Cricetulus griseus: one gene and its partners. The protein of the gene in region 1 purifies or fractionates together with the protein of each later gene. This does not show direct contact. Links are inferred from orthologs where the notes say so. Each region holds a gene or a part of one and is shown on either strand. Other genes may lie near its edges. The genes, in order: Pxn, Git2, Ilk, Git1 and Bcar1.

Region 1 (6,010 bases):
CGCCCACCCCAGCTTTCCTATATCCTCAAGTCCTTTCTCTAGGGCTCCAAGACACAGTGTAGCTTTTCCTCGTGTGGCACTGGACTACAGGTCTAAGAAAGCAACTGCAGCCTTAAGGGACAGGTACCAGCACCATCAGTGCCTGGATCCTGACTGGCTGCTTATCACCACAGCAACAAGGTGATTGCTATTACCAGCCCCAATTCCACCCAATCTCCCACCTCCGTGTGAGCTCCAAGTATGAGTCCAGCTGAAGGGAGGCAGGAGGCACCTTCTAGGCCAAGAATGGACAGACAGCCTGGCTCCCTTCTCATATTCCCCAAGCTGTGCCTCAAAGGTCTCTGGCTGACCCACATGGAGCTGAAGTCAGCAACTATGAGAAATTTCAGTCAGTATTAATCCCTATTGAGGCACCACATCTTCTAAAGAAAACGTTGTGGACAGGCAGGCCTGGAGAGCCTGGGAGGGGAAGGTGGGACGCCTCATGCCGACTGGCCAGGTGCTTGGCAGGTTAAGTTTCCCACAGACAGGACTCTGGGAACTCAGGCCCTTAAAGAAGAAAGTGAGGGTAGAAGGAAGCTGGCTGGAAATGCTGGAAAACCCCATCCCCACAGCAGAAAGAAAGCGGGTGCTCTGAGGACAGATAGCGTGGGAGATACAGCTCTGGGACAAGTGACCTCTCAGGCATGAGGTCCTGGTCCCACGGGGCCCAGCAGGACATACCCTCCCCCACCAAGAGCAGCTATCAACACAGGGCTCATTGTCACTGTGTTCCAGCTCCTGGTCCCCTTGACCTGGTGGCTGGGATCACCAGGAGAGGGAGGAATGTTCCAGCTAAAGGCATCTCTGGTTTCTCTGCCTTCACAAGCTGCTAAGGAGCTCAGTCTTGAATATTACCTAGCCTCTCTCCTCCAGGGCCCCGAGGAGCTGCTAGTCATACTGAGGAAGGGTAATGGATGGGAGCAGGGAAGACAGAGAGAATCAGAGGGCACCTTAAAATCCGACAGTGAAGCCATGAGCTCGTCCAGCTCCCTGGTAGCAGAGGAGGCCGAGATGCGTGTCTGCTGCTGGCTGGAGGTGACTCGCTGTGGGCTGCTCATCTCACCTTGGTTCACAGTGATAGCCGGGCTGTGGGGCAGGCATGGAGTCAGTAAGGAGCCCAAGGGTCAGCCCCAGGCTCCACGGGGGGGGCTCCAGATCAACGACACCTCCAACTCCAGGGAAGGCCACCAGAACCCAGCAGCACCTTAGGGATCCCCATCCCTGGGAAAGAGTGACTAGCTAAGAAACAGTGCTGAGGTGAGGTGACCAGAGAAGGTAGGTGGTTCACAGTACCCCTACAGGAAGACAGGGGCACCACTACAAAGCCTCTCAACACTATACACATGCGAGATTATTACACATCAATAAACACTGACACATGGTGGCTCATCCCTGTAACCCAGCACTTGGGAAGCTGAGGCAGGAGGGCTACTACATAGTGAGTTTCAGAAGAGTCTGGGATATAGAGTGAAACCCTACCTCAAAATAAACAAGACCTGACGCTATTAGGGGCTTCCCTAATAGCTGTGATTGCCACAGCTACGAGCCAGCCCCCACCCCCCCCAACATTATATACTATTATATACTATTTGGTCTCACTCTATTTACTATGTAGGGTCATCTCCATTATTACTGTCTGCTTTACCTATTTTATAGTTTATGTCGTATTTTTGCGCTATGGTCTCATGCAGTTCAGACTGTCTTGGAACTCACTTATATAGCCCAGATTGGTCTTGCACCTGAGATCTCCAAACCTCGACCTCCCAAATGCTGGGATTATAACCATGTGTCACCATGCCCTACTTTGGCTTATTCCAACTTATAGAGCGAGAGTAAGACTGTTGTAGCTGGCACAGCCATGATCTAAACCCTGTGCCACATCAGCAAACCTGTGCTAACCCTGGCTTTGCCGGGTCATGCCATATCCCCAGGACCTGGCAAGTAGCAGACACTGTAGGGAGCAGGTGACTTCAGGGCTGATGGACAGGTACCACACAGCCCGAAGACAGTCGGGGTGAGACTTCAAGAGCTTCCCCAGCCTGGGGAGACCCTAATGGATACTCACACAGGGCTAGGCACAGAACTCTCCAGTTCATCCAAGAGGCTCTCCACGCTGGGCCGCACATCCTCCAGGCCCCGGCCTCCATTTCGCTTTGGCTTCTCTTTCATCAGGGGCCCAGTTTTTCCTCCCAGGGTACTGTTACTCTCTGGGACACCATAAAGGGGGCTCAAGGCTCCAGGTAGTGGGGGGCTTGAGTTGGCTTCATCTTGGAGATAAGGAAACAAAATGGTTGCTCATCCCTGAGTCCTCTAGGAACCCAAAGGCCCATGAGTAGTCCAGAGACCCGCTCACACCTGCAGGGAAGCCTGAAGGGTTGTGCTGCACAGCGTTCAGTTCTAGTAACAGACGGTCAAGCTCCGAGAGGTTGTTGCCCAGGGAGGAGCTCATCATGGTAGGTGAAGGCTCTGCGGACTTGTGTTTGTTGGGGAAGCTTTGAGAAGGAGAGGAAACAAGTAAGACTCTTCTGCCCTGCACTGGATGTGGCAGGCCCCAGATTCTCAAGGCCGGAGGGGTGGAATGTTACCAAGTCTCTTCAGCAAGAAGGCGGAGGGTAGGGAAGGAATGTGGTAAGGCAAGGAGGAAGGAAATTTTGCTTCAGTTTCTCAACTACAGAGATGCTGTCTCTACAGAGAAGGCAGTGACAGGGCAGAGGGGAGCCAGCTGACAAGCACAGGGCCTGGCAGGGGCCTTCAGGCCTTCTATAGTTCCACCAGTGGCCCTAGGGTTTCCCAGAAGCCGGGCTGATGTACAGTGCTGGTTCTGTACCTGTAGACGTGTTCTTCCTCGCCTGCTCGGGAACAGAGAGCGCTGTCCTGAGGGTTAGAGGCACCGGAAGTCTTAGCACTGGAGCTGTACACAGGTGACGGGGATGGAGGCTGCAGAAGAAAGAGTACTTTACTCAGGCCACCCCCAGGCAGCTCCTGCTCATAGCTTGTCTCACCAGGGAATTTCCACAGCTAGTCAGGTGATTAATACTTGGTCACTGGCCCCTCACATGGTGGGTGAGAAGGGCAGTGTATGACTAGGAGCCCAGAATCCCAGTCCATCCCCAATGGCTTTCCATCTCCTCGGCAGATCAGCTCCTTTTACCACTCAGCCCCCAAGGGCTCCGCAGACCCCACCTTACCTGCTGGTGAGTGTATCGGGAACCACTAGGCTGCCACTGGTCTAAGGGGTCAAGGATCGTGCCATTGAGGGCCTCGCTGGATGGGGGTGGTGGAACAGGGGGTGGCACTGCAGTCTCCTGATAGGTATGGTTTCCAGTTGGGTAGGAGTAAGGGGGCTCCTCTGACAAGAACACTGGCCGTTTGGAGATGTGGGAGGTGGTTGATTCCAAGTCTGCCAGCAGGGCGTCTGCAAAGAGAAGACGTCCACTGGTGAGAGTTGGCCCTATTGGGCACTTCCCAGGGGCAGTGTCCTGCCTTCCTGAACTTGAAGAGATCCTGTCTGGCAGACACCTGCTGCTTCGATGGGAGAAGAGACCTGGAGTTTCCACATCGGCTGCCCGTCCTCTCCTCCCTCAGGGGTTAGATGCCTGGCTCTGCATTCCTCCTGACAAGGCTAGGCTGCTGCTGCCTGGTGTAAGCAAGAAATGCCTGCTTAGAACTCTGATTCCTGAGGGCAACTGGGAGAGCTGGGTGGGAGGAGTCCTACGTCATGTCACAGCACAGGGAGGGGCTGGGTAGATAGAGCCAGGTCCTCTCTGGACTTCTAAGAGCCTCAGCCCAAGTCTAAAGACAGGGGGTGGCCTTAGGGAGCACCTGTGCTCCAGGTAGGAGCGGAATTCCATGCTCTAAGCTCCTCCTGAGGCCCCAGGCTGTGGGTAAGGTATGCAGAGAGGTAGGGGGCTGGCATGAAGCCAGCTCGGCAGCAGCCACCCCCTCAACAAGCTGGGAGTAAGACTGCTCTGCCAAAGCCTGGCAAGCAGCCCAGCCCTAGAAACTCCAGGGCCCCATGACTCCGCTTTTAATGGGGGGTGGGTCAGATCTCCAACACAAGCTGCCATTACCCTGGCATGCAGTAGCCGACAAGAGGCTCAGGTTCTCGACAGGAAGGGACAGCTAGAGGGACAGGAGTTGGAGGTACTGACCTTCCTGCCATAGCCTCCCATCTTGGGACCTTCCACAGTGCCACGGCCTGGGTACAGTCCAGCCCCGCTCACCACACCCTCCCTCCTTCCTGCACTGCTCACTGACCTGCTCACTCTCAGCATCTAGTGACCTGCTTCCTGGGCCCTCGTGAGTGGCAATCGAGGGGCAGTGGCTGCACTGCACTGATCACCATCTACTAGGAACCACTAAAGGCATCTACACGCGTGGTCACAAACAAGTGCCCCTTCTGGTGACCTAAAAGGCCAAACTGTTGTCTTTGGAGCTGAGGAAAGTAGGCTTGGAGGCTAGCAGTACCTGCCCTGAGTGATAAAGCAGGAAAGGGCAGGATCACAAGACTCCTCAGACTCCTTAAGTCCCAGACACCAAGCCTGCAGGAGGGACTGCTGTGATTTCAAAGAGACAAGATACCAAATCTAAGGAACTCAACTTCCTACACACCAGGGGCTCGAGCTCTGATCCTTGCTGGCGGCCCTGTCTGTAGCTCCATTCCCATGCAGAGAAAAGGGAAGCAAGGGCCTTTGAGGTCATGCCCTCTCCTAGCAGCCCTGACTACCTGTCACTAGGGTGGGTGCACCTACCCCTGGCTCCTGCTGTATGGCTGGACGAGAAGTTGTTCGAAGGCCGGGACCCTGGGTCCCAGTCTCTTGCTGCTGAAGAAATTCTGCTCCTGCAGCCCCTCCCCGTCCAGGTCCCCCGGAGGAGCTCTGACTTCCTGCCTCCAACAAACCGGAACTACAGGGAGTCTCTATGAGTCTAGGTAAGGGCATAAAAGGAACTAATGTCCAAAGCCAATCCCAAAGAGTCTCTAGGGCCACACCTGCTGTCCATTTCCTCTGGGCCCAGCCCAAAGTAGGCGGAACTCCTCTTCCTCCATCACAGACTGAGCCTGCAGGGCCAGCTCCACAGAGCAGGCCACAAATACAGCCCTGATGGGGCTGGCAAGAGCAGTCCTGTACACCTATCAGGGCCAAGAGCTTCACCTGTGGAACTTGCCATCCCCCAACCCAACAACACTGCCATAGAGGGCTGGGCTGAGGTCCCCCTTGCCAAAGATGGCTAAGGGATAACACAGTTCCCTCCAGTTCCAAACACTCCAAGGAAGACAATGGCCTTCCCTGCTAGCCGGTAAATCAGGAGTTCCACTGCCCGCTCAACAAGTCCCCATGCCCTGCACCCATGGTGCGATGCTGTGTCTGGCTTTATTGGTTTATGGGCCAGATTCTGGTTTGACTTCTTTTTTTTTTTTTTTCTATTCTATTTTTATGGTACTAGAGCTAGAACCTGGTGCCTTGCAGCATGGTAACGTCCACCTCTGAACGGAGACAGGGTCCTGTTATGTAAGCCAGGTGGCCCCAAACTCTCAATTCTCCGACCTCCATCACCACTCCCAGCGGCACGAGCCTTTCTCATTTATTTGTTTTCTTTCTTTTCTTTTGTGTGTGCGTGTGTATGTGTGCTCAGCAGTTCGAGCCTGTGTGGAGGTTGGAAATCTATGCCAGGTATGTCCTTTTTTGGGGGGAGGGGTCGAGACAGGGTTTTTCTGTGGCTTTGGAGGCTGTCCTGGAACTAGCTTTTGTAGATCAGGCTGGTCTCGAACTCACAGAGATCCGCCTGCCATTGCCTCCCAAGTACTGGGATTAAATGTGTGTGCCACAATCACCCAGCTACCAGGTATATTCTTTTATCACATGCCACTTTGGTTTTTGGAGTTTTCTGTTTGTTTTTTGAGACAGGGTTTCTCTGTGTAGCCTTGGCTATCCTGGTACTAACCTCTGTAGACCAGGCTGGCCTCAAA
Region 2 (5,682 bases), about 1.3 Mb from region 1:
TTGAGAACCACTGATTTTCAGAGATGGCAATGTGTTTTTTTTAAGGAAAAATAAAAACAAACAAACAAACAAACAAAAAACACCAAAGCATTTCAGAACAGGGAGGGGTCCTAAGGGGTCTGAGCTCCAGATAATCTCAAACATTACATCAGCCACCTTGGGGAGCTCGTTAAATTCTGATTCCTAGGCCCAGCCCCAGAACCATCAGTCCAGACAGGTACTGGGTTTTCCCTCATCGCTGACAACATCCTCACCCTACGGGTAAGGTAGAGTGGGCCCCAGAACGTAACTGCTTTGCCCAAGGTCACTAGGGAGCTAGAACCCGGCCTCCGAAGCCAACCAAGCTCTTCCCCAGAACAAGGGTGGGTGAAGTAAGAGGTGTGTGTGTTGCTCTTCCGCCTTGGAGGCCATAAAACCTAAAGGTGCATTCGGGGGCCAGCCAGCCTGAGATTAAAGATCCAGACTTGGTACTCATTAGCCAGGTGGCCTTGCGCAAGGCAAGTAGGCTCTGGGGTCTCAGTTTCCTTCCCTGTCATATCAGCATTCATTCCTAGCGACAATGGAAAGGAGACACTGTACCAAAAGCCCTCGGCATACAGCCCGGTCTACAGGAATCGCTCGATACGGGTCCTAGCGGGGCTCGGGAGACGAACCGACTCCGACTCCGACTCGGCGCCTCACCTGGCCCCGCAGCTCCTTCTCCAGCTGCCGGTAGTCGTTGTTCCAAACCAGGAGGTGCAGCGGGAAGCGGCTGCTGGCTTCGCGGGCCGAGGACATGGCGAGGAGGCCGCGGCCCGGGCCTGACCGCCCGCCTGCCGCCACCAGCCTCGATCCGACGGGGTCTCGGGGACCCGCCCGCCCGACTGTCCAGAGAGCGAGGGGAAGAGAGCGGCGAGCGGGCGAGTGCGGGACGCGGCGGGCGGCGGGGGCCTCCGAGGCCGGAGCGGGCGGCTCTGGAGGCCCGGGGTCGCGGGCCGGGCTGGGGACCGGCTCGGGGACCCGCTCGGCCGCGCCCACCCCGCGCCCCGCGCGCTCGCGCCCGAGCTGACAGCTCGCGAACCGACTGTCGCCGGCCGAACCGCCCCGAACAGGGAAGTGCACGGGGCGTTCCACCGAGCGCCGCGGCGGGGGACGCGGCCCCGAGACAGACCCGAGCCTTGATCCATTTCGTCCCGCCGCACCCCCACCCCGGGACACACGACGATCAAAGGTCTATGGAAACGTGGGACATCCCCCCGCCAGGAAGCCTGAGATCCTCAAGCGCAAAATTCAGGGTGCGCGTCCCCTGGCTCTCCCCTGCCGCTCCAGCCCCTCCAGTGGTTCGCTCCACAAATGGGCCCCTTCCATTGGCTTTGTAGCCCGGGGGTGCCAGCCTGGACCAAACCATCTGGCTGGAGCCTTCCACGATTGGTCAGAAGCCATTTTGGAAGTGGGCAACACGAAATCGTTTCCACGGAAGGACTGAACCCTGGAGAGGTGGCACCAGATATCCTCAAGATATCGGGGTAGTTGTGTCTCTGGGCTTCTAAGCTTTGGAGTATTTGCACTGGAGGGTTCTTTGTTGTGGACGCTTTGTAGGAGGCTGAGCGCTGCCTACTCAATGCCATCAGCACTCTCCCCAAAACGGTCTCCAGACGTTCGCAGTTGTCCCCCGGAGGTTAAAACAAACAAACAAACAAATAAATCGCCCAGTTGAAAACCACTTATTTTGTCTGAATTCCCAACTAGGCTATAATTCAAAGTACTCACCCTGAAGGTCTATCCCGCATCAGTCTCGTTAAGCTAGCCATTCGGATTTAGGATTGTGGCCCAGAGGACTAATAGAGTAAGTCTCCAGGTTGGCCCACAACAGGCACAAGTCAAATCCATCCTCTGGGCTGCGACTTCTTGAAACAGTGAAGAACCAACCCAGTGTTGTGTCTGCCCAGATGTTTACAGCTGCCACGAAGTCGTCCCAGCTTTTCAGATGAGTGCAAGGGCCGGTCAAGAATTGTAACCAACCTAGCTCACTCCTCTGAGTGAAGCTAATACGGGATTAGTAACACCGAGATGGTGCCTAAAAAGCTTTAATAAAGGAGTGTGTGTTAACATCACTTTGGAGAGATGGGCATGACTAAATGAACTTAACTGATGACTGTCTCCGGGAGATTGTACGTTTAGAGTTTTTTGTCACAAGGTTTTGCTTCTTCCTCTGGTACTAATGGGTCCAGGATCAGGAAATCACTCCCCAAAAGGGAAAGCCCAACTGCGGGAGTATTTAGAGACAGGCAAAGGATGCTCGGGCAGACCTCTGCCCTCATTCAAGATGGCGATAAGGAAGCGTGCCCTTTCCGGTCACATGATCCGTCAGGCTCGGCAGGACGTCTCCCCGCGCGTGCGCAGTGTGCCGGGGCTGCGAGGCGCTGAGGGGAGAGGCGCCGCCAGCGCCGCCCGGGGACCCGTTAGAGCGGAAGCGCCACCACCGCCGCCACCGCCACCGCCGCCGCCGCCGCCTCTGCCGTCGCGGGGTTCCCGGCAGGTGAAGCGGGAGCCATGTCGAAGCGGCTCCGGAGCAGCGACGTGTGCGCCGACTGCAGCGGGCCGGGTGAGTGACGCCGGCGGGGCCCGCTCGCCGCGCTCTCGGGGTCCGGACTCCTGGCGGGGCTGTCCCCGCGGGCGGGAGGTTGGCTGCGGCCCAGCCACGCCGACCCCCCTGGCCGCCCGGGCGCGAGACGGTCCCGGGCCTGTCAGCCTCGCGGCCCCGGGGGTCGCTCACTCCTTTCCGCGGCCCGACCGAGGGCAGAGGCGACTGGACCCGGGAGTGGACGGGACGGGAAGGGTTCGGCAGCCCCGGAAAGCCGGTGACAGGAGGCAGACGCGGGCGGCCCGAGCGAGGTTGCAGGTGTTTCCCCTTCCCGGTCCCCCGGCCCGAGCGTGCGCGCGACCGCTGGGCTGCGCTGCCCTAGGGGCCCCGAGTGGAGGGTTGTCCCGCGCCCTGCAAGCCGCTCCTGGGGGGGGGGGGGGAGACAGCCCGAGCTCGGGTTCTCAAGTTTCCCACCAGGTTTCGCCCCTCTGCGTGACCTTGGACTAATGACTTCACTTGCTCTAACCTGGTTTTCCTCATTTTCCCGGTGGAAATTATCACCAGTACAGTGCGCAGTGGTCAGTGGGATATTCCCCAGGGGATCGTGTCTTTTGTATGATGTTACTCAGTTGAAAACCGTTGTAGTTCCTTCAGCTGCAATTTGGCTTCAGAAGTGTACCAAACACACAGTCGCTGGCATTGTAAACTCGGGGACATCGAATGGCCAAAACGGCTCCTACTGCAGATAGTGTTTGGATTCGAAGATTGGATCTGGCTTAGTAATTGGAATCCAATTGACATGTTTTGATTCGGATTTTTTTGTGATCATTTTGTTTCTTGGACTTGATTAACTTCGAGTGTTTAGTCAGTTACATATTTAGATGACTTTCCGATGTTCAATAAACAAGCCTAATTAAGTCTTTGAACACAGGCGGTTTGTAACTGTTTTCATCTTGTCATTTAGAAGCAGAGGCAGATTGTAAATGGTGCTGTGCTAACTCTTAGTTATTTCATAGTCCTGGCTACTACAGGTTAACAGTTCAGAGGGAAGGTAAAGACAGGCAGGGAGGGTTTTTAAAGGAGTGCTTTATACTCTAAGCCAGGTTTGTACAAACTATCATTTTCTATAAAATGTCGATTGTTCCGCTTCCTTCTTTTCTTGCCTGTTTTCCGTTGATTCATGTGTGTCTAACTTAAAACTTCCTCTTGGGATGCACATTCTTTACTTCTCCACTGGAAGGTACGAGGCAAAAGCAGATGGCTTCTCCTTGGTACCCTGAAAACTGTCTTGTCCATTTGTGCCATTTCAGGACCTTGTCTGTTGTTTCATATTAGTTGTCTTGAATGCCAAAATCTAGAAAAACTTGAGTCACTTCCTTCCTGTTTTGAATATAATGAGGCTACCTTGAAGGGTGAACTGGCAGACTAGGAATTTATGCTGCCTTTTATGCACCGCTTAGGTGGAGGGTCAGCTGTAGGATTCGGGCTCCTTTGAAATCTTAATGTGCAGGCCATCTCAGAAGACGATGAAATACTTAACTCTCCTGGACAGAATTTGCATACGATGGCCGGAGGCACAGATACCTTTGAAGTCCATGTGTAGTGTTTGTTCATGGAACCTTCCAGATAAACTGGAAGGACTTCACCCAACCTCATTGACAAAAGCTTGATTGTCATTTTCTGTGTTGTCAGTGTTCTTTCCTTGGGATTCTGATCCGTGGTGTTTAAGTGATTAATCAAGACCGTTGGTTTAATGTGGGCTAAACCATTGCTCTCCTCCTGGTTGATTTGCCTAGGAATACTGTGAACCTCTGACAATAAAAAGCAAAGCCACATGTCCAGTCCTAATACTAATAGACGATGCAGAAGCAGTGTTGCATGTGTCTGTCAGAATCTTCATACTCCCCGCCCGCCTCCTTAGAATGCCATAGTAGCAACTACAGTTGAACCTGCTGGATTCTTTTCTGTTTTGTCCTAGGGAACACACTTCACTATGATTATGTCTTGTTTACCTTTGTGGTTGGTGTGGGGGCTCCACAAAGCCCAGCCCTGATTCTTGTTTGTTTTTAATGAATCTAGTTCATTTAAAATGCATCATTCCTGTGCCCCCATGATAGATACTTTATTTATTCTTATTTGCATTGACCCTCCCTGTCCCACTATGAGGACACTCAAAGAAGTAACTTGCCTCGGATTATTGCACAAGAAGTGGTGGCAGAGTTGGAATTCAAACCATGGGCTCTTTGTCTCCATAACCAACCCTCTTACCACCGTATTCTCTGGCTCCCAGGGTTTGTCTCTGATTGAAATCCCATAACTTTTCATTATATGGTTTGAAGGGGTTAGAATAAATTGTTAAAAATGGTAAGCATGATATACATGCATTTTAGAGATTTTTGTGGACATTGAAGAATTTTAAAGTGTAACCCTTAGGCCAGGCAGCTGGAGTAGCACCTACTGTCACCGCACTGTGAGTCTGATGGAATGGGAAAGGCCTGTCTTTATTTGGGGTTTCTAAGGCTCAGTTTACTTGCCCAGAACCATCCTGCCTGAATAGTGTAAATTATTCCTCTTATGAAAGATTGTGTGATGAAGCTTTTTTGGATTTCAAAGGAAAGAAAGTATTGTACTCAACGAGAAATGCTGTTCATTTTGGTTTACGTCTTTATTTCTGTGAGGTGCCTTCCTTCGAGTCAGCTGCAAGACTGGATCCAGCAGGTTGTCTAAAACAACTGGTGTTGTCATAGAGCATTGCCTTAGAGGAGTGGGCCACCCTTTCCTGCCTCAGAAGAGCTGAACAATTCTGCAGTTCTCTTCTGGATTTGTGTTAGCATATGGGCCTTGACTTCCTACACTGGGCAGTGGGCACTTCACTGTTTACTTTAGATACTGTATGAGAATAATCCACTGTCAAGATTGTGTAGTCTTATTTACAAAGATGGACTAAAAATGATTCATTGAGTTGAGACGGAGCTCAATGGTAGAGCGTGCCCACCATGGACAAGGCCCCAGGTTCAATCCCCAGCACTGCAAGGAAACAGTAGAATGACCCACCCCTGCTCCTTCAATCTGCTTCTTTACCATTCTGTAAGAGTATGTGCCTATGGTGTGGTGGTGGA
Region 3 (5,737 bases), on another chromosome or scaffold:
CAAAGAAAAGATAATTTTTATTCAGGGGGAGGGGGGGCTGTTAACTGTGTCACAAGCAAGCACGAACAGAGATGCAGTGTACTGTCCTGTAAGTGTCACACAGTAGGATTGACAGGATGGGTTGATGGTTCCATGCTCAATTTGTTTCCCACTCATCCTAGGACTTAGGTCTGAGTACTTACCTCTGCCACCTGGTCTTGACCCCAGAAACAGGCATAGTGAAGGGGCACATTCCCATGCTCATTCACTGCATTGATGTCAGCCTTGTATTGCAACAGCTGCGCCCCATGGCCAAGAAAAGAAAAGAATATAGTCCCAAATTTAGATAGTACACATTCTCCATGTGACAATAGCTGTTACTGACTTCACAATTGTGTACATGTGAGATGTGGGTGTTGAAGGGTTTGCCCATACCTTCTGTACAATGTCACGGTGTCCATGACTGGCTGCCAGGTGCAGGGGGGTATCATCCCCACGATTCATCACATTGATACGTGCTCCTCTCATGATCAGCATTTCAACCACCGCAGAGCGGCCTTCTCGGCAGGCCCAGTGCAAGGGGGAGAAGCCATGATCATCCCTTTGAGAAAGAGGCATGGAATTGGAGGTTGGGAGGGACAAAAGCTTTGATGGGAGAATTCTATATTCACTGAGAAGGCTTGCCTCTCTAGTACTTAATTTTTACTCATGTCAGCAATTCACAAAGTTCAATTCAGATTTTCCCTTGAGCTTCACACCCAGTCACTCAGATGTCCCAACAACTGTAAGGTTTATTACTTTAATGACCATCTCCTAGATCCTCTTCCCTAGCAGTTCTTCATTAGGTGATAGCACTCTTCTGGGTTCTTTGGCGTCTGCTGCTCCTTGATTGACAGTACTAGGAGTCAAACCCAGGGCCTTGTACATACTTGGCATATGCTATGTATACCACTAAGCTGTATCTTCAGCTCATACATTTTTAGCCACACCTTTAATTCTGTTTCCACTGCTTCTTGTGCCTCTCCTTATTGTAGATGTACACTGACTAGATTGTAAGAATCTATTGAGGTAGCTGGGCGTTGGTGGCGCACGCCTTTAATCCCAGCACTCGGGAGGCAGAGGCAGGTGGATCTCCTGTGAGTTCAAGGCCAGCCTGATCTACAGAGCGAGTGCCAGGATAGGCTCCAAAGCTACACAGAGAAACCCTATCTTGAAAAACCAAAAAAAAAAAAAAAAAAGAAAAGAATCTGTTGATGTCAGCTGTCTTGCCTGTTAGATCATATGCTTGAGGACAGAGTCTGACAGCTGATGTTCTTTCTATGCAAGTTAATGGGAGAGGGGCATATTGGAGAAGGAGGCCATAACTTAGGAGAGGGAACAAGCTTACTATTTGGCTCTGGTATTGAAACTAACATCTAAAAATGGAATGGAATTAAAATGTTTTGGAGGGATATAATGACAAAAAAAAACATGCTTTTGATTACTGATGAGGCAGATAATAACACAAAACAGGATTTTCCTACTTATCAACCCAGAACACACAAAAGAAAACATATATAGAAGCTTTAAGATGAAAACTATATCTGATTAGTATTTTCATTCTCTAAGAACATATATTTTATAAAGAGAAGTGTACAAACAAAACAATTGGGTGGGCTGGGTCAAACTGACAGCCTGGAGCCATAAAAGGAAATTCCCTCCAGTCCAGGGATGCAGATCTAAGGGGCGGGACGGGGCGGTCTGTGGCTTAGGCTTGCAGCCTCCGGATGCCTTAGTGCTGTGGTCATTTCCTGTAAGGGGGCTGGAGGAGGGGCCTTGAGCTGATCCAGACTTGGTCACCCAGAATCCCTCAACAGCTGAAGGAGGTATGTAGCTTTAAAAAAATTGTTCCTCCAGTTAGCCCTCATCTGCTAACACAATCAGCAAAACCTTTCCCAGGATGTGAGTATATCCCTTGCTATCAGTCTTGTCTCCCAGACTTCTCATGTGTTCTGACCTAACAGCCTCCGGCAGTCTTGGCCTCAGTGTAAGCCCAAGCTTGAGAACAAAAATAAATGCACTGAGTTTTGCTCACTGTCACCCCAGGGCCTAGATTTCTATCTCAAGAAAGCCTGTAGGATATTAACCACCACCAACAACACACCCTGTCCCCTTAAGCCACCAAATCTTTCTGGTTTCCCTAATGATGCCCTTTCACCTTTTGACAGCAAGGAATCTTCCAAAATGTCACTCCCACTGGGGACAACAGCCTAAACTTCTATTTCCTTACCAACAAAACATGTCTCAGTGTGTACCAGAGCTTACGAATCATGTGAAAAATGAAACTGAATATTACAGAGAAATAACACAGCCTAAAGGGAACTGGTGAAACCTGGCCTAAGATGACAGATGATCCTTTACAACCTAAAAAAGTACACTCTTCTAGTCACACATGGTGACAGCAAACTGAAAACCCAGCACTCAGGACGCTGAGGCAGTAGGATGGAGGCCACTCTGAACTACATGACACCCTATCTCCAAAAGCAAACCAAAACCACCTACTAAACTTTCCCAACAACACTTTTCTTTCTTTCCTGTATCAGCCAGCATTTTAGAAAGTGTTCATATTTTCTCCGTTTCCTCGCTTCTCATTCACTTTTCTCCTTTCCAGAAGCCTGCCATCTCGAGGGCATTGATTATGTCTGATTTAAGGACTCTAGTACCCACTATAGGTGGTGTTCCTTATTTGAAGGAACCCAGTATAAAGCAGGTTCCTGTTAATTTTCTGCAGTTTCATTTACAAGATCAAATATGACCTAAATATAAGTTAACTGAAGAACATAAGATACTCATTCATGTTCTTTAACTTCTCAGAAGCCTATGCTACAAGTGACCAGCTCATTAAAACATTCTTTAATCTTAATCCATTTTCCTATTTCTCCTTCAGAAGGTTGATACCTGTCAGTTGGATAGGCTTCTAATCCTCTGCTTTAATTTCTTGCTCTTTTGAGGTACTATTTTTCACACTATAGAATCTTCAGATACCATTTAAATGATATTTGTGGTATCTTGGTCTCCAAGTCAGACTTCTCCTGAAATTCAAATCTACACAACCAACAACCTGCCCAATATTTCCCAGTTGCTGTAGTGCCACCATAACTGTATCAGTCCAGACAGAACATCAGCAACTTCCAAGTATCCAAGTGCCCAAACCTCACAAACCCCAGGCCATCTTTGACTACCCTCAGTTCCCATGTCAAGTCAATTACTTCATCCTTATGACTCTGGGAGAATCTCACCACTTCTAGTTTTTCAACTGTCCGAATTCTAGTCCAAAACATCACTTCAAGGCAACTTCCAGGATGACATTAGACAAATGGACAGTCTCATCACCACACAGCTTCAGAACTTTGCTTACAGACATCTGTCCTTTTTCACTTCTATCCAATGCTCCAGGGCACAGAAACCTATTCTCCAACCACATGTAATTCCAGGCAATTGCCTGACACTCTGGCCTGCCATTGACATGAGTTCACAGAGGCTGCAAAGCAACCCGGAACCTCTGAATGTGAAGCTTAGTTAATAAATTCAGTTCAGACACAGCTTCCTCAATGTAGATACCCCTCCAACAGTCTGTGCTTACTATACTCTTCACACTAGATGGCAAAATCAGCTGCCCCCGCCCGACATGAGCACCCCACGTAGCGGAGAGTAGACTGACAGCCCTTCTCTCACTCTCCAGCGCTTCAGCTCACCCCTGATTGAGGTCGTTCTCTGTGTTGTCCAGCCACAAGCGCACCGCCACCGCGTTGCCCTCCCGGCACTGAGTGAAAATGTCGTCCATAGCGGCGTCCCGGACAGGAGAAGCCTTGGGGGACTGCGGGAAAGCAGAGACAAGAGGATGAGCTCTGCTCTGTTCTCTGCAGAACAGAGTTGTCTGCTCTGGGATGGGGGGCTAGGCGTTGCGAGAGTGACAGTGGTCGTCTGTGAAGGACTTCGGGCAGCGAGACGACCACTGGGCGCGAGGGACAGGCAGGGTGTGGCGGTATAGGAGGGACTTTGCTAATCTCCTGAGCCGGTGTCTGTGGGCACCGAGTCCCGACCCGCGAGCACGGCTGGGGGGGGACGGACGGGGGGGAGAACAAGCTGCAAACACCCGGAGGAGGAGACAGAGGACCTTCCCGGGCGGCCCCGGCTCCCAGCTCGTAACTGCTGCAGAGATCGCAGAGATGGGTTTGCAGGGCCAATGTGGGGCAGGGCGCAGAGACACCCGCACTCACCGGGACTCGGGCCGCAGGCGCCTTCTCCGGGGAACTCCCGTCCGGCCGCGCCCGCCGCCCGGCCCCGCCCCGCCCCGCCCCGCCCGGCCCTCTTGGGCCAGAGCGGGCCACCGTCCCTCCCTTCCGACCTCCTACTGCCTCTCTAGCTCCCGGCAGCTGCACTCGATGGTGCTCTGCTCCGCGCCGGCCGCTCTAGCCACCACAGGCTTTCACTCTGTGGCTTCCGGCTGGATTTGGTTAGGGTCCAACGCTACGATACCCTGACGGGCTTTGCACGTGGCCGTGGCGTGGGCTCCGGCGACCCTGCCCTCCACTGGCATGTTCGAGGAGCCCGAATGGGTCGAGGCGGCCCCAGCAGCCGTGGGCCTCCGTCCAGCGACAACACAGAATCGGCCAGCGACTGCTCCGCCAGTCAAGGTGAGCGGCCGGGGACTGGGCTGTTTGAGGTGGCGAAGCCGACCCTCCCGAGCCGCCCTTGTGCGTGTTGGGGAGACCGAGAGCCTGCAGTGCTGTCGTGGATCGGGATGGAGGGAGTTAGTCCTTATCTGAAGATCCGGAAACTCCCCCCCCCCCAAAAAAAAAAAAAACTGACCTTAAAATACAGTTGGTGAGAAGTTGGTACAGAGGAGAGAGCGTACCTGAGATGGAGAAAAACCTGGAGAAGCCCAGGGGTTAAACACACCGAGTTAGAGTGTATCAAGATAGGAATGCGAGGTTCGGAGGGTGGAGTACAGAGTAAATGAAAGGTTTGAAAAGTAAGTTTTCGTACGCTAAGGGTAGAAGTCAATGGAGTTGCTTTAGCAATGGAGTGGTTTCGCCACATTTTCTATCACCAGGCATGACTTTATACTGGAGATCAGTTCCAGGGCTTGGTAAGCAAGCATTCACTACTGAGCTGCACCCCCAGCTTGGAAAGGTTCTTAGTTGCACTGTAGAAAGTATATTGGACACAGTCAAAGCAGGTGGCAGGGATGGTTATCAGGATCACTATTTTAAAAAAGGTATGGGGAACCCAGAATTTCCGAGGTAAATGCCTGGCCGAGGATCAGCAGCAGGACTTGAACCACAAGTCAGCTTCACAGAAAACAGGTCTTTCTTTTCCTTTGAGTTTCATCGAATGTGAGAACTATTGTATCTCCTTTGGGTATTCCTGACTTTTAGTCAGCCCAGGGTGTTCTTTTAATCTGTATTCCATCCTTCTAATGCAGGCCGCTGGCCTGCCTGTGTGCAGCCTCATCCTACCTGGCTATTATCGCTACTGCAGTTAGGAACATCTTTAATAGACATGTGTGATGCTGTCCTTCCTGTTTCAAGAAACCTCTCTGGTGCTCCTGGAATGCTATCAGCTGCGGTCTTGTCTTGGTCCTGTGGTTTGTGACCTTAGCACATTCCTTTAAGGAACATCACCTGACAATCCTTTACAGGCTTAAAAAAGCAGGGTAGAAGCATGTTGCCACTCTCCAGCTTCCTAGATCGTGGGGTTGCAGCTTGAAAGTTCT
Region 4 (5,647 bases), on another chromosome or scaffold:
TGCCTAGCCATTCCACAGGGAGGCAGAAGTCTCCTATGGGATATGACCCTGACGCCGTGTATCACACAGTCCTGGGTATGTTCCTGTTGGACCCCATCCGACAGACTGGTTCCTACCCCTACTCTGACACAGTTGGAGTTTCCAGCTTCATGCCACCATCAACTGTGGGCTGCAGCCTTAAGGACAGACTGAGCAATGGAACTAACCTTGGCTGAGGTTTCACTATTTACTGGCCAAGTATTTTGCTCACAATTCCTTTCACAAGTGCTATCTTGCTCTACTGATGAGGATTCAGTGGCTCAGAGAGGTCAAAGGGCTTGCTCAAGGTCACACAGCTAATAAGCACAGCTGCTGGGATGCTGGAGGCAGGTACTTCAATGCCAGACCAGGCCAAGCCTAAACTTGCTGCCCTCTGCCCCTGCAGTCTCAGGACCAGCCTGGGAAGCCATTCTCCAGTGAGGACAAGTGGGTAGGAGCTCCTGGTCCTCAAGGGTAGTAGAGATGCTACCACCCCAAGCCCCTCTGGAGAAGGGGAGGAGAAAGCACACACAGCTCAGGCCACAGAAAGGAAAGGTCATGGGGGAGAAAGCGGCCATTGTGTGCTGTCCAGAGTGGGGGCAGGGAGCTGCTCTCCCAGGACACTCTGCTCTGCCCAGGCCCCCACCCAGGCCCAGGAAGCCTTGTTCTGGGGGTGGGGCTGGCTCTCTGCCTTCCTTATTACAATTCAGGATGTTCCGAAGTGGGGACTCGACTCTTCGGGGTTGGACAGGTTTGGGATGAAGGTAATCTTGAGCAACCAGAAGGCACTTGGCAGGCCTTTGGAGCCAATGTCTCCATCAAAGTTCCCACAACCATGAGCAGACTGAGTCAGGGCTTAAGCTCTGCCCATGTTGGGAGGCAGTTCCCCAGTACAGTGTGGAAACAGGAATTAAAAGAGGTGTCTTTGGATCCAGGCTTCTTTTGGGGACTCACAAAACAAGGCAATGAGGGACGTACATAGTACATGCCCTGGGGCGAGGGGGACTGATTCTAAGAACTGGGAAACCAGTCATCTCCGCCAAAAGGGGGAGCCCTAGAGTCTTTAGTGTTGGTTTTACCCAAACAATGAGAACCCCCGCCCAAAGACATGGAAAACTCCCTTCCCCCACTTCCAAACACCACTGGGTCAGGGGGTCTGCCTGCCAGTCACCTCCTGCAGTCCAGGCAGGAAGCGGGAAATGATGCAGCCTAAATTCCTCTTGTTGAAGAGGTAGGGTTTCCTGTGAGTGGGGAGACGCCCAGGCCAGGATCAGAAATGGGCAGCCCTGAGGCCTCCACCCCAGCCCCCTGTGGCCCCGAGGAGGGTCTATAGGAACCAGTTGATATCCAGGGCCAGTGGTCCCAAAGCTTCAATCTTGAAGGCTTTGCTTGGCGTGGTTTCCCTGCCTGAGAAGGGTCCTCCTATTCCTCTGCAGTGACCTCAAACAGGAAGGGTGGGCAGGGGACATTGTTTTGGTCTGGGCCAGTTCTGGATGACACAGATAGGAAGTCAGTCCTAACAATTCTACCTGCACTCTAGGTCCAACCTTGGCCTGCCAAGCCAGTTAAAATCCCACCTTTGCCAGTTCTCAAGTATAAGGGCCAGGAAGGGCTTCTGCTACTTGCAAACTTGGGACAGAAAGGGAGGATATGCGAGGGTTAGAGGACATGGCACCTTCCTCTGGCTGCTCCACAGGCAGGTAAGGGTTAGTATAAGGGGCCAGACATCAGAAAGCACACTGGATAAGATAAATGGAGTCAACCATAGGAAGGCCCTAAAGTAAATTCATGTCACCTCTAAAAGCCATCAGTGGCTTCTACGGCCAGCAGGTCTGCATATAAAGACCAGCCTCAAGCCTTTCCCCCTTAAGCTAGGAGCCAAATTTTTGGAAAATGAGGGGGGAAATCTGCTATGCAGAACGCAGGCAAGAGGAATCCAAGGGAACAGAGGTCAAAGTGGTGGTTACTGCTGGGGGCGTGGTCAGAGGTGGAAGCAATGTCCTATACATTGAGTGGTGGCCACACAAGTTCACACATGTCTGAAACCCACAAAGAGCTAGACGTGGTAATGCACACCTTTAATCACGGCACTCAGAAGGCAAAAGCAGGTGGATCTCTGAGTTTGAGGCCAGTCTGGTCTATAAAGTGAGTTCCAGGCCAGCCAGGGTTGCACTGAGAAACCCTGTCTCGGGGGAAAAAAGGAGCAAAGCCTACCATCTGTCCTGCACTTGTAAGAAGACAAATGAGCCTATAGGTTGCCCTGCAACATGTTCCTCAGCTGGTGGTCAGCTCTGATCAGTTATAGGCTGTGTATCTGGAGGTCTTTACTTTTGTGTATCAAAGTGTAAGGCTGATATATAGGTTATGGATTGAGAAGTGGACAGTTGAGAGCCAGGCCAGTGTTCTTGGGAAGCAAGGCAATGAGGCAGAGTGGGTTGAGGCAAAGGAAGGGGACAGCCAACATTCTCCGGTGCACTCTGACTCCTGTCCTACCCTGGATTCCCAAGGCAGGCAGGAACACTGCAACTGGTAAGGTAGCACAAACTGCCAGCAGCTATACTGTGTCCAGATGCCTTACAACACATTTACACCTGTCTCTGAGCACAGACTGCATCTCACCTCTTGCCTCTATCACCCTCCAAGTTAATAAGCTATAAAAGGACCATGACCCTACCCCATAGTCTCACAACATAGCCCTGCCTGGCCTGGAGATCTGCCTCATAAGTGCTGGGCATGTGCTATCATACCCCGCTAACAGCAGAGTTCTATGACTTTGGGTGTCTGTGACTTTGGACTAGAGATATACTGGGATGTATGAGTATACAGGGATATAAGATATACCTCTCTCTCTCTCTCTCTCTCTCTCTCTCTCTATATATATATATATATATATATATATATATGTACATATATCATACACATGTGATACAAGAGAATGCTTGGCATGCTCATGCTCTCATCCAGGATGCTATAAGCCCAGATCTAGAATGACACTGTGTGTCAGCACCAGTGTGGTGTAGTGCAGTCCTGACACACACCAACACTTGTACCTGGGGAGTGGCTGCTGTGTGCCAATCACTGCCCTAGGTGCTAAGGTAAGATAATGAGTGAGATTGTCAATGCTCTGCACATATGCTTGGTTTACATTCTGGATCAGCGGGAAGGAAAAGAGTATGAAGGTGGGCCTGCCTCTGTCATATGAGGCCGGGGGCTGTGAGCTCAGTGGCCTAACATCTGACATACCCATTCCTCCTAGCACCCACTGGGTCCCCAGAGGCTCCAGCCAGGCAGTCACAGACAACACAGAAGACATAGCTTTGCTGATACTATCTTCAGGTCTCTGCTCCAGAACCAGGAACAGAGACTGGGGACTGGGAGGAACCTCAAAATCCACTTCTATCCCATCTTCTTTGTGTTATAGTTGAGGAAATGGAGGCCCAGAGTGAGCAAAGTGCTGCTATAGGTCACAGGGTAAGCTGGAAACAAAGGTAATCTGGAACCCAGACTCACCTGATGGTACCTGGAAGGCCCCCAGGCTTACCCCACAGCAATGCAGAATAGCTCTTCCATTCCAGGCCAACCTATGGCCAGGGGAAGGGAGTGACAGTTTCCAGCTAACTAGGGGCAAGGACATCTATCTGTAAATAGATCCTCCAGGGCCCTACAAAACATGACATACCTTAAGGAGGTCTCATGCTCACACCCCTGCCAGATGTCCACAACTCCCAATACTCTACCGTAGAGCACAAGAACCAAGGGACCATCACTCCTTGTGGGGCTCACACTATAAGATCTTGGGACTTCTAAGGGGTGACTGCAAGTCAGCACTCCACACTCTCACCTAATCACTTCTACAGTCCCCATGGAGTTCATAAGACTCCGAGCCTATCTGGAAAGCCAGCTTCTTTTATAGAGGATGGGCAAAGGCCAGAGCTTCCTTCCTCGGGCCAGCTGCTAAGTCCCATCACTGGCTGTGTCTTTCCACCTAAGGGACCAGTCTGGTAAGTTGCTGCCCTCCTCAGCAAGCCAGAGGGCTTTCAAACCAGTCCAGACCTAACTCTGCTGGGAAAGGGGGAGGAAGCAGTGTGCAAGTCCACCCAGTCGGACAAGGGGAGCCTAGGCACTTTCTCTGATCCAGAATGGTCTAGAGAGCAAGAGGAATCGGTGTCTAGACTGAGGCAATACCTAGCACACCTTCTTAAACAGGCCTACCCGGAACAGGAAAAGCTGAGTCTGGCTGTTCCCAGACACCAGCAGGCCTGGAGATGCTTCCGGGGAAGATGCCCATACTTACATTGTCCCTTAACGTAGGGCCCCTACAATGAGCCCCAGCCCTGGGGATCAGGGACTGGGCGTCCTAGAGTAGCCACCCCCGTCAGGTGCTCCCGAGAAACCTGTATCCAGGCCCCTTGCCCTCCAACGCTCCGGCGGGCACGCGGACCATGTGAGCAGCAGGTGCAAGACGCGGGGGTGGCAGGGATGACACAAACCATACTAGCGCCCACCTCCCACAGCCTGTGGGCCTCCGCCACGGCCCTCCTGCCACCCCAGGCTGGCGCTTTCGTCTGGATGCCGAGATGGAGGTGGGAGGCGGTTCCCTCCAGTCCACCGGCTCGAAGGCACAGCGCCCCCCGCAGCCGGCCCTCCCGCCAAGGACGCCGCTCCGCAGTGGCCCCCGCCCCGCCCTCCGGCCCCGCACGGCACTCCCGCCAGGCCCCGGCGCCCGCCCGGCGGCGGCCTGCGGCGCGGTCCCGCCCCGGCCCGGTCCCGCCGCTTACCCGGGGCGCTGCAGTCCGCACACACCTCCGCTCGCGGCCCCTTCCGGGACATCCTCAGCGGCGACGCGGCCGCAGCCCTCAGGGCCAGCGTGGGGGGCGCGGGCGGCGGGCCCGGGCGGCGGCGGCGGCCCTACGGCCCGGCCCGGCTCCCGCAAGGCCCCGCAAGGCTCCGCACGCGCGGCCAACCGTCCGCCCCCGGGGCTGGCCCGGAACCCGCCGTGCCCGCCCGCCCGCTCGCCCTCGGGCGCCCTCCGCCCCGCCGCCCCGCGCCGCCCCACCGCCGCTCGCCGCTCTCCCCGCCCCCTGCGCGGCCCGGGCCGCTCCTGCAGGAAGCAGCGCAGGCCCTGCCCACCGGGGGAGGGGCGGCACGCACCCCGCCCCGCTGCTCCGCTCCTCTCCAAGGCCGCGCCTCTCAGAGAGAGGAAGCCTGCGCGCCGGCCCGAGTGGACGGGGCCTCTTAAAGGAGCCGCGGCCCGCTCCAGCTTGGTCTGCAACCGAGACACCCCGCTAGCTCTTTGACCTTCACTTTCAGATTGGGGAGTGGTCCAGGAGCCGAGAGACGGATGTGATGGGTGCTAGGGCGGACAAGAAGCATCCCCAGGCACATTGCTCCTCGCGGTCAGAAGCTGGGTTGGGGTGAGGTGTGTGTTCTGGTCCTTTCTGTGTCCGTGTCAGTGTCCAGGTGGGTCTGTGGCCACATCCCCGCCAAGTACACGCGCTACCACCAATATGGACGGCCAGGTGCCCAAGAGGTCACTCAAGTGTGACTCCCTGCCTGCGGGATTAAAAAAATACACCTTCTTTGTTTCAAACAAGAAAGCAAAGAAGCTGGATGGTTTAAGAGTGACCAC
Region 5 (4,915 bases), on another chromosome or scaffold:
GACAGTAACTTCGTTTGTGTTTTATTGCTATGCCTGTGATGTCTCAAGCATGCTAGTCAATTGCTGCAGTCACAGCTACTCAGGAGGCTACAGTGGGAGGGTTAGCTGAGCTCAGGCAGAGTTCAAGATGAGGCTGGGCAACAGAGTGAGAATGCCATCTCAAATTAATTAGCCAAATTAATTAGTCAGAAGGCAGTGATGGCTACGATGCCGGATAGTGACTGGCTGGGTGGAGGGCAAACAGGGCTCTCTATTCCTGTCGGGTCTCACCGTAAGGTGACTACTGGGAGCCTCACCTGCTGCAGCTCCAGTTGGCCTTTTCCCTGCCGCATTATGTTCCCCTTTTCTAGTAGCTCCTTCTGTGTCTTCTCAAACTCCTCCTTCCCCTGCAGGGAAGAGACAAAACACTGACTGAGAAGTCTCTTCTGGGACAGAGGCACCAGCAAGTACCATGGGTGCAAGGGCCAGGGAACCACCAGGTGGCAGTGTAGGCACACCAGGCCCAGAAGAGGCAGCTTGTAAAGGAAGCAGCCCCTACAGGAAGGGTCTGGTGCAGGAAGGTAGCTTTGTAGAGGGTACAGTCATTCTACAATCCTTCCCTTAGTCTACAAATGGAATGGCATGCAGGTGTCTTCTCAGAGGTCATTCTCATCCTACCTCCCTATTCCCCTTGTCCTATGTCATCTAGACTCTACCATCTGTCTCCTCAGAATGTTTCTACATAGAATGGAGCCACATCTATGGCCACTAGGAAAGCCCATTCCCCAAGGTGTTCTGGAGCCATCCTGATTGGTCCCTCAAGGCCCAAAAACATAGTCAAGTTGATCATCAGTCTAATAGCACAAAATACAGAGAGGGCACTAGGGTTCACCAGTGACCATTCCTGGAGCCCAAATCTCCCTTTGACCACAAGATCTCTATGTGTGGGATAAGAGGCCAGGGGAGATCATGGTCAGAGCTTTTGGGGCCCAGGCAGGCTGAGAACCCACCTGCAGGTGGACGTAGTCATAATCCTCCATCCAGCCTCCTTCACTGTTCTCATACTGCCCATCTGGAGAGTCCTGGGAGGTGAACTTGGGGGGTGAGGGCAGAGGGCGTGACTGGATGCTGCTGGCTTTATCAGTGGGGTTGGGGTGCAGGGAGCTGCCTCCCTCAGGCCCTGGGCCAGGGGCTTTGGTCCGTCTGAAAAGCAGTGAGGCATTGCCATGCAAAAAGGAGGCCAGCTGTTTGGCATCCTCAGGCACGGCCCGTGAGCAGGCCACCAGGCGGTCCATGTCTTCAAGGGTGAATCCTGGGCTTCCCCGGCCACTGTCAAGGACCTGACCATGGACCACCAGTGTCTGGTACACATCCTCCATCTTCTGTAGTTGCCGGCTAAGCTTGGCATGCAAGGTGCGGTCAGAAGTGTGGGTGGCATTGCTCACAGCACTGCGGGCAAACTCCAGGAGCTCATGTACTGCCCCGTGAACTGCAGCCACTGCAGCTTTGAGGTCCTGCACAGGAGGCTCCTGAGGCTCAGAGGTGCTACGCCAGCCCCCAGGCCCACTGGCACTGCCCACCAGGTCCAGAAGGTGGGCTACAGTGGTGCTTACACCCAGCTGCAGCCGCGCAAGGGACTCCACAGCAACCTCCAGCTCCAGGGGCTCCCGGCCTGGCACCACTACCTCCAAGGAAGATACTGATTGGCTGCTGCGTGTGCTGCCTGTGCTAGAGGCCGACAGGCGCTTGCCATCTGTTGGGGCCTCTCGTTCAGCTGGTGGAGGTACAGCATACACACCATCATCAATTACATTCCCATCAGCCACCTCAGGAGGGAGCACCTGTTCACGAGGCACATCATACAACGTTCCAGGGCCAGGACGCCTCAAACCAGGGGGCACGTCATAGAGGTCAGGAGCAGGGGGTGGCACATCATAGACATCCTCAGCTGGTGGGGAGTCTGTGGGAGGCGCAGCAAGGATCAATGGGTGTCGGGTTGGGCCAAAGGGCTTGGGCTTGGCGAAGGCAGGGGGTACATCATATGTCTCCTCTCGCTGCAGGGGGCCATCGGGCACATCCTTGCTCACGGACGGAGGAACATCATACACCTAGGGGACCAAGTAATGATTAAGACTGTTGTCTGTCTGCTCAGCCCTGGAGCTCAGGGGCAGAACCCAGCCAATGTACACACCCAGCCTGATTCTTAGCTATGACGACTATGCCAAGAACCTAGCCCTGGGGCTAGCTGACTAACTCTAAGTGCCTGGTTATTCATCTGTAAGATGGGGAACTCCCTCCCAGTGAAAGGCTATATATGTGTTCAGTGTGCAATTCTTAACTGCAGACATGTAGGAGAGACTTGCTACCATAGTGCCAATGCTGCTTGTTTGTCTCATTCCCACCACAATACCCAATGTCACTCTCATTGGTAGTCTTTCTATTTGTATCAAGCACTTGGCTGGGCTTTGTATGTTAGATTCCGGTTGGCTCTCAAGACAATTCTGTATGATTATCAGTCCCTTTTACATTCCAAGTGTCCTTCCTGGTTTGGAAGACAGATTTTGTGCTCTTCCTTTTTGATACCTCTCAGAGCATACATAATGAGAAGACCTGACAATGGGCTATTTTCTGGGGCTCAGAAGGGCATTTATTTTCTTTTTTAAAATTAATGTACTTATTTATTTTTTATGTGAATGGATGTTTGGTCTGCACGGATGTCTGTGCACCAAATGCATACCTGGTGCTAAGAGATCAGAAAGGGACGTTGGATCACCTGACACTGCCAGACAGTGCATGAGTGCTGAGAATTGACCTTGGGTCCTCAGGAAGAGCAGCCAGTGCCTTGGCCACTGACCCATCTCTACAGCCTGGGCATTCAGCTTCTATATCTGTCCCGGAGCAAGTAAAGACAGAGCCAGGGTCTGCAGACAGCAGTCCAAGCCCAGTTCATACACTCATCTGTGCCTTTTTCACCTTTAGAAAGGTCCAAGGCCCCAGCATTTGCTGGCTCCTTACCGAATGATGATTGGCTGGTGGCAGGCCTTTCTCCACACTCGGAGGCACATCATACACATCCAACAATGGGTCTCTGCCATTGGGGCCCTTGACTGCCATGGGAGGTGTGTCATATACCTGGAGGGCACAAAAGAAGGTGCAATGATACAACTGTCAGGGATATATGGTTTAATGGGATGAGTGGAAGTCCCCAGAAACCTACCTTGGGCACCTGGGCTGTAGCTGCTGTGCTTCTCAGGCCCTGGCTAGGCTGAGAATATACAGCTCCCACAGCAAGGCCCAGTCCCTGTCCTCTCCCATGCCTCTGATCCCCAATACTTACCTCCTGGCCATACTGGCTGGGAAGCAGTCCTCGTACAGGGGGCACATCATAGATGTCCTGGGGACCTGGAGCTAACAGGTGGCGTGGGGTATCATACTCGTCTTGCTCTGTCTGGGAGGCCTCGTATACATAGCCCTGTCCCACTCGAGTAGGGACCACCACCTGGGAACAAACAGCTGATTGCACCACTGGCCCTTGAAGCTAGCCCCTATGACCTACCCACAGATCCATGGGAGAGGTAGTGGTGGGGCTCTGCAAGGGTAGGCTTAGAGGCATTGCTTCTCATTCCTTTTCTGGAGTGAAATGCAGTGCTTGGGAAACAATTATTAGACCCCTAAGTTTTGTTTAGAGCTGTGTGGTTCTGGGCCATGAGACAGAAAGTCTCTACAGCCAGATGACCCAGTAGATTCCAGAGTAGGGTATGTGAATGACAAGATGGGATAGGAAGGGTAAAAGGCCTGACTCTTGAGGCAACGCCAGTGGGCAAGGCGCCAGCCCACGTAAGGTCTCTTGTGTCATTCCTGTTGACACCTCTAAGCTGCCCTGCCCCTCAAAGTTCTGCTCGGCAAGACAGCGACCTGATTATAGGACCACCACCATTTCCAGACACTGGAGGCAGAGGATATAGCCTGGCAAGGCAGAAAGCAACCCTCCCTTAGTAGGACTAAGTAACTTAGTAGGACTACTGAACATAATGACCACAGAGCTAACTCTTGAGCAGACGCACAGGGCTAGGATATAAGGTCAGTTACATGGCAAAGGAATTCTAACTGGAACCACTGTAGCCACACCCATAAGCTATCTTGCCCACCTGAAAGGGTAAGGCCTTAGTGGGAGTCCCTGGTCAGAGGGAGCCAGTCCCTTCCTTCCCAGGACCCTGACCCTGGATCCATGGCAGTGGGCTCTGTATGGAGGGCAGGCACTACCCCCTGGACCATGCTGTTCCTCCACAGCAGCACTCAGCCTGGAAGGGATGCAAGTGTGCCAGGCAGCCTCCCCTCTACAAGATTCTCCAGCCAGGCTCAGGGCACCCTCCCCCATGGGGCTCCCTGCTCAGCCTTCTCCACAGAAAGGCCTTTTGTTTTCTAATCAAAGGGGATGTCTGGGACAGGGTTGACTCAGGGCCGCCACACACACACATACCCTGCCACGTTCAGGCTCAACACTCTCAAACCCAACCCAAGCTTCAGCAGGCATACACCAGCATAACCCCTCAGCACCCCCCCCAAGACACAGGGGCACCCGGCAGACCCAGACCTGACAACCTCCATTTGAGCTAGGCAGATAACACTCAGTCCAGCTGGGATTCTGGACTGCCTCTAGCAGACAGCCTGGCAGGCTGGTGTGTGCCACTATAGGGGCTGCAGGGTCTCCTCTGTGGGGTGTCCCCACCCACCAATAACAGGGCCTGGGGGGCGGAGTTGCAGCTGCCTCTCCAGACTCATCTCCCTGCTCAGGCCCCAGACTTGAGTCTCCTCCAGGGCTATTTTTAGATGTTGGAACCTGCCCATGGCACAGCAGACTGGGGCTGAGGGACGTGGCAGGTTAGACGGGCCTGTGGCAAGGCCTGAGGCTTCTCTAGGCCAAGGCCGCCTAGGT

What was found.
Region 2: the proteins of Pxn (region 1) and Git2 purify together in Homo sapiens (co-immunoprecipitation; 3 studies listed by BioGRID and IntAct, with this or other methods). This does not show direct contact. The link is inferred for Cricetulus griseus from reciprocal best matches to the Homo sapiens genes PXN and GIT2.
Region 3: the proteins of Pxn (region 1) and Ilk purify together in Homo sapiens (affinity purification with mass spectrometry; 4 studies listed by BioGRID and IntAct, with this or other methods). This does not show direct contact. The link is inferred for Cricetulus griseus from reciprocal best matches to the Homo sapiens genes PXN and ILK.
Region 4: the proteins of Pxn (region 1) and Git1 purify together in Homo sapiens (affinity purification with western blotting; 8 studies listed by BioGRID and IntAct, with this or other methods). This does not show direct contact. The link is inferred for Cricetulus griseus from reciprocal best matches to the Homo sapiens genes PXN and GIT1.
Region 5: the proteins of Pxn (region 1) and Bcar1 purify together in Homo sapiens (affinity purification with western blotting; 3 studies listed by BioGRID, with this or other methods). This does not show direct contact. The link is inferred for Cricetulus griseus from reciprocal best matches to the Homo sapiens genes PXN and BCAR1.

Annotation. Positions count from the first base shown.
Region 1 is NC_048597.1:95,637,383-95,643,392, reverse strand, and holds the start of Pxn (paxillin), read right to left. Parts: upstream 3,617-6,010; 5' UTR 3,602-3,616; coding exon 3,562-3,601; intron 3,458-3,561; coding exon 3,231-3,457; intron 2,980-3,230; coding exon 2,870-2,979; intron 2,535-2,869; coding exon 2,398-2,534; intron 2,310-2,397; coding exon 2,108-2,309; intron 1,129-2,107; coding exon 993-1,128; intron 1-992. UniProt on the Homo sapiens protein: Cytoskeletal protein involved in actin-membrane attachment at sites of cell adhesion to the extracellular matrix (focal adhesion). Recruits other proteins such as TRIM15 to focal adhesion.
Region 2 is NC_048597.1:94,387,312-94,392,993, reverse strand, and holds the start of Git2 (ARF GTPase-activating protein GIT2), read left to right. Parts: upstream 1-2,386; 5' UTR 2,387-2,532; coding exon 2,533-2,584; intron 2,585-5,682. Other genes in the region: Ankrd13a (ankyrin repeat domain-containing protein 13A), read right to left, coding at 682-777. UniProt on the Homo sapiens protein: GTPase-activating protein for ADP ribosylation factor family members, including ARF1.
Region 3 is NC_048596.1:93,962,754-93,968,490, forward strand, and holds the start of Ilk (integrin-linked protein kinase), read right to left. Parts: upstream 3,829-5,737; 5' UTR 3,803-3,828; coding exon 3,714-3,802; intron 581-3,713; coding exon 415-580; intron 279-414; coding exon 183-278; intron 1-182. Other genes in the region: Rrp8 (ribosomal RNA-processing protein 8), read left to right, coding at 4,557-4,655. UniProt on the Homo sapiens protein: Scaffold protein which mediates protein-protein interactions during a range of cellular events including focal adhesion assembly, cell adhesion and cell migration.
Region 4 is NC_048600.1:90,896,586-90,902,232, reverse strand, and holds the start of Git1 (ARF GTPase-activating protein GIT1), read right to left. Parts: upstream 3,668-5,647; 5' UTR 3,653-3,667; coding exon 3,529-3,652; intron 1-3,528. UniProt on the Homo sapiens protein: GTPase-activating protein for ADP ribosylation factor family members, including ARF1.
Region 5 is NC_048596.1:188,123,166-188,128,080, forward strand, and holds part of Bcar1 (breast cancer anti-estrogen resistance protein 1), read right to left. Parts: intron 3,479-4,915; coding exon 3,317-3,478; intron 3,112-3,316; coding exon 2,995-3,111; intron 2,088-2,994; coding exon 990-2,087; intron 387-989; coding exon 297-386; intron 1-296. UniProt on the Homo sapiens protein: Docking protein which plays a central coordinating role for tyrosine kinase-based signaling related to cell adhesion. Implicated in induction of cell migration and cell branching. Involved in the BCAR3-mediated inhibition of TGFB signaling.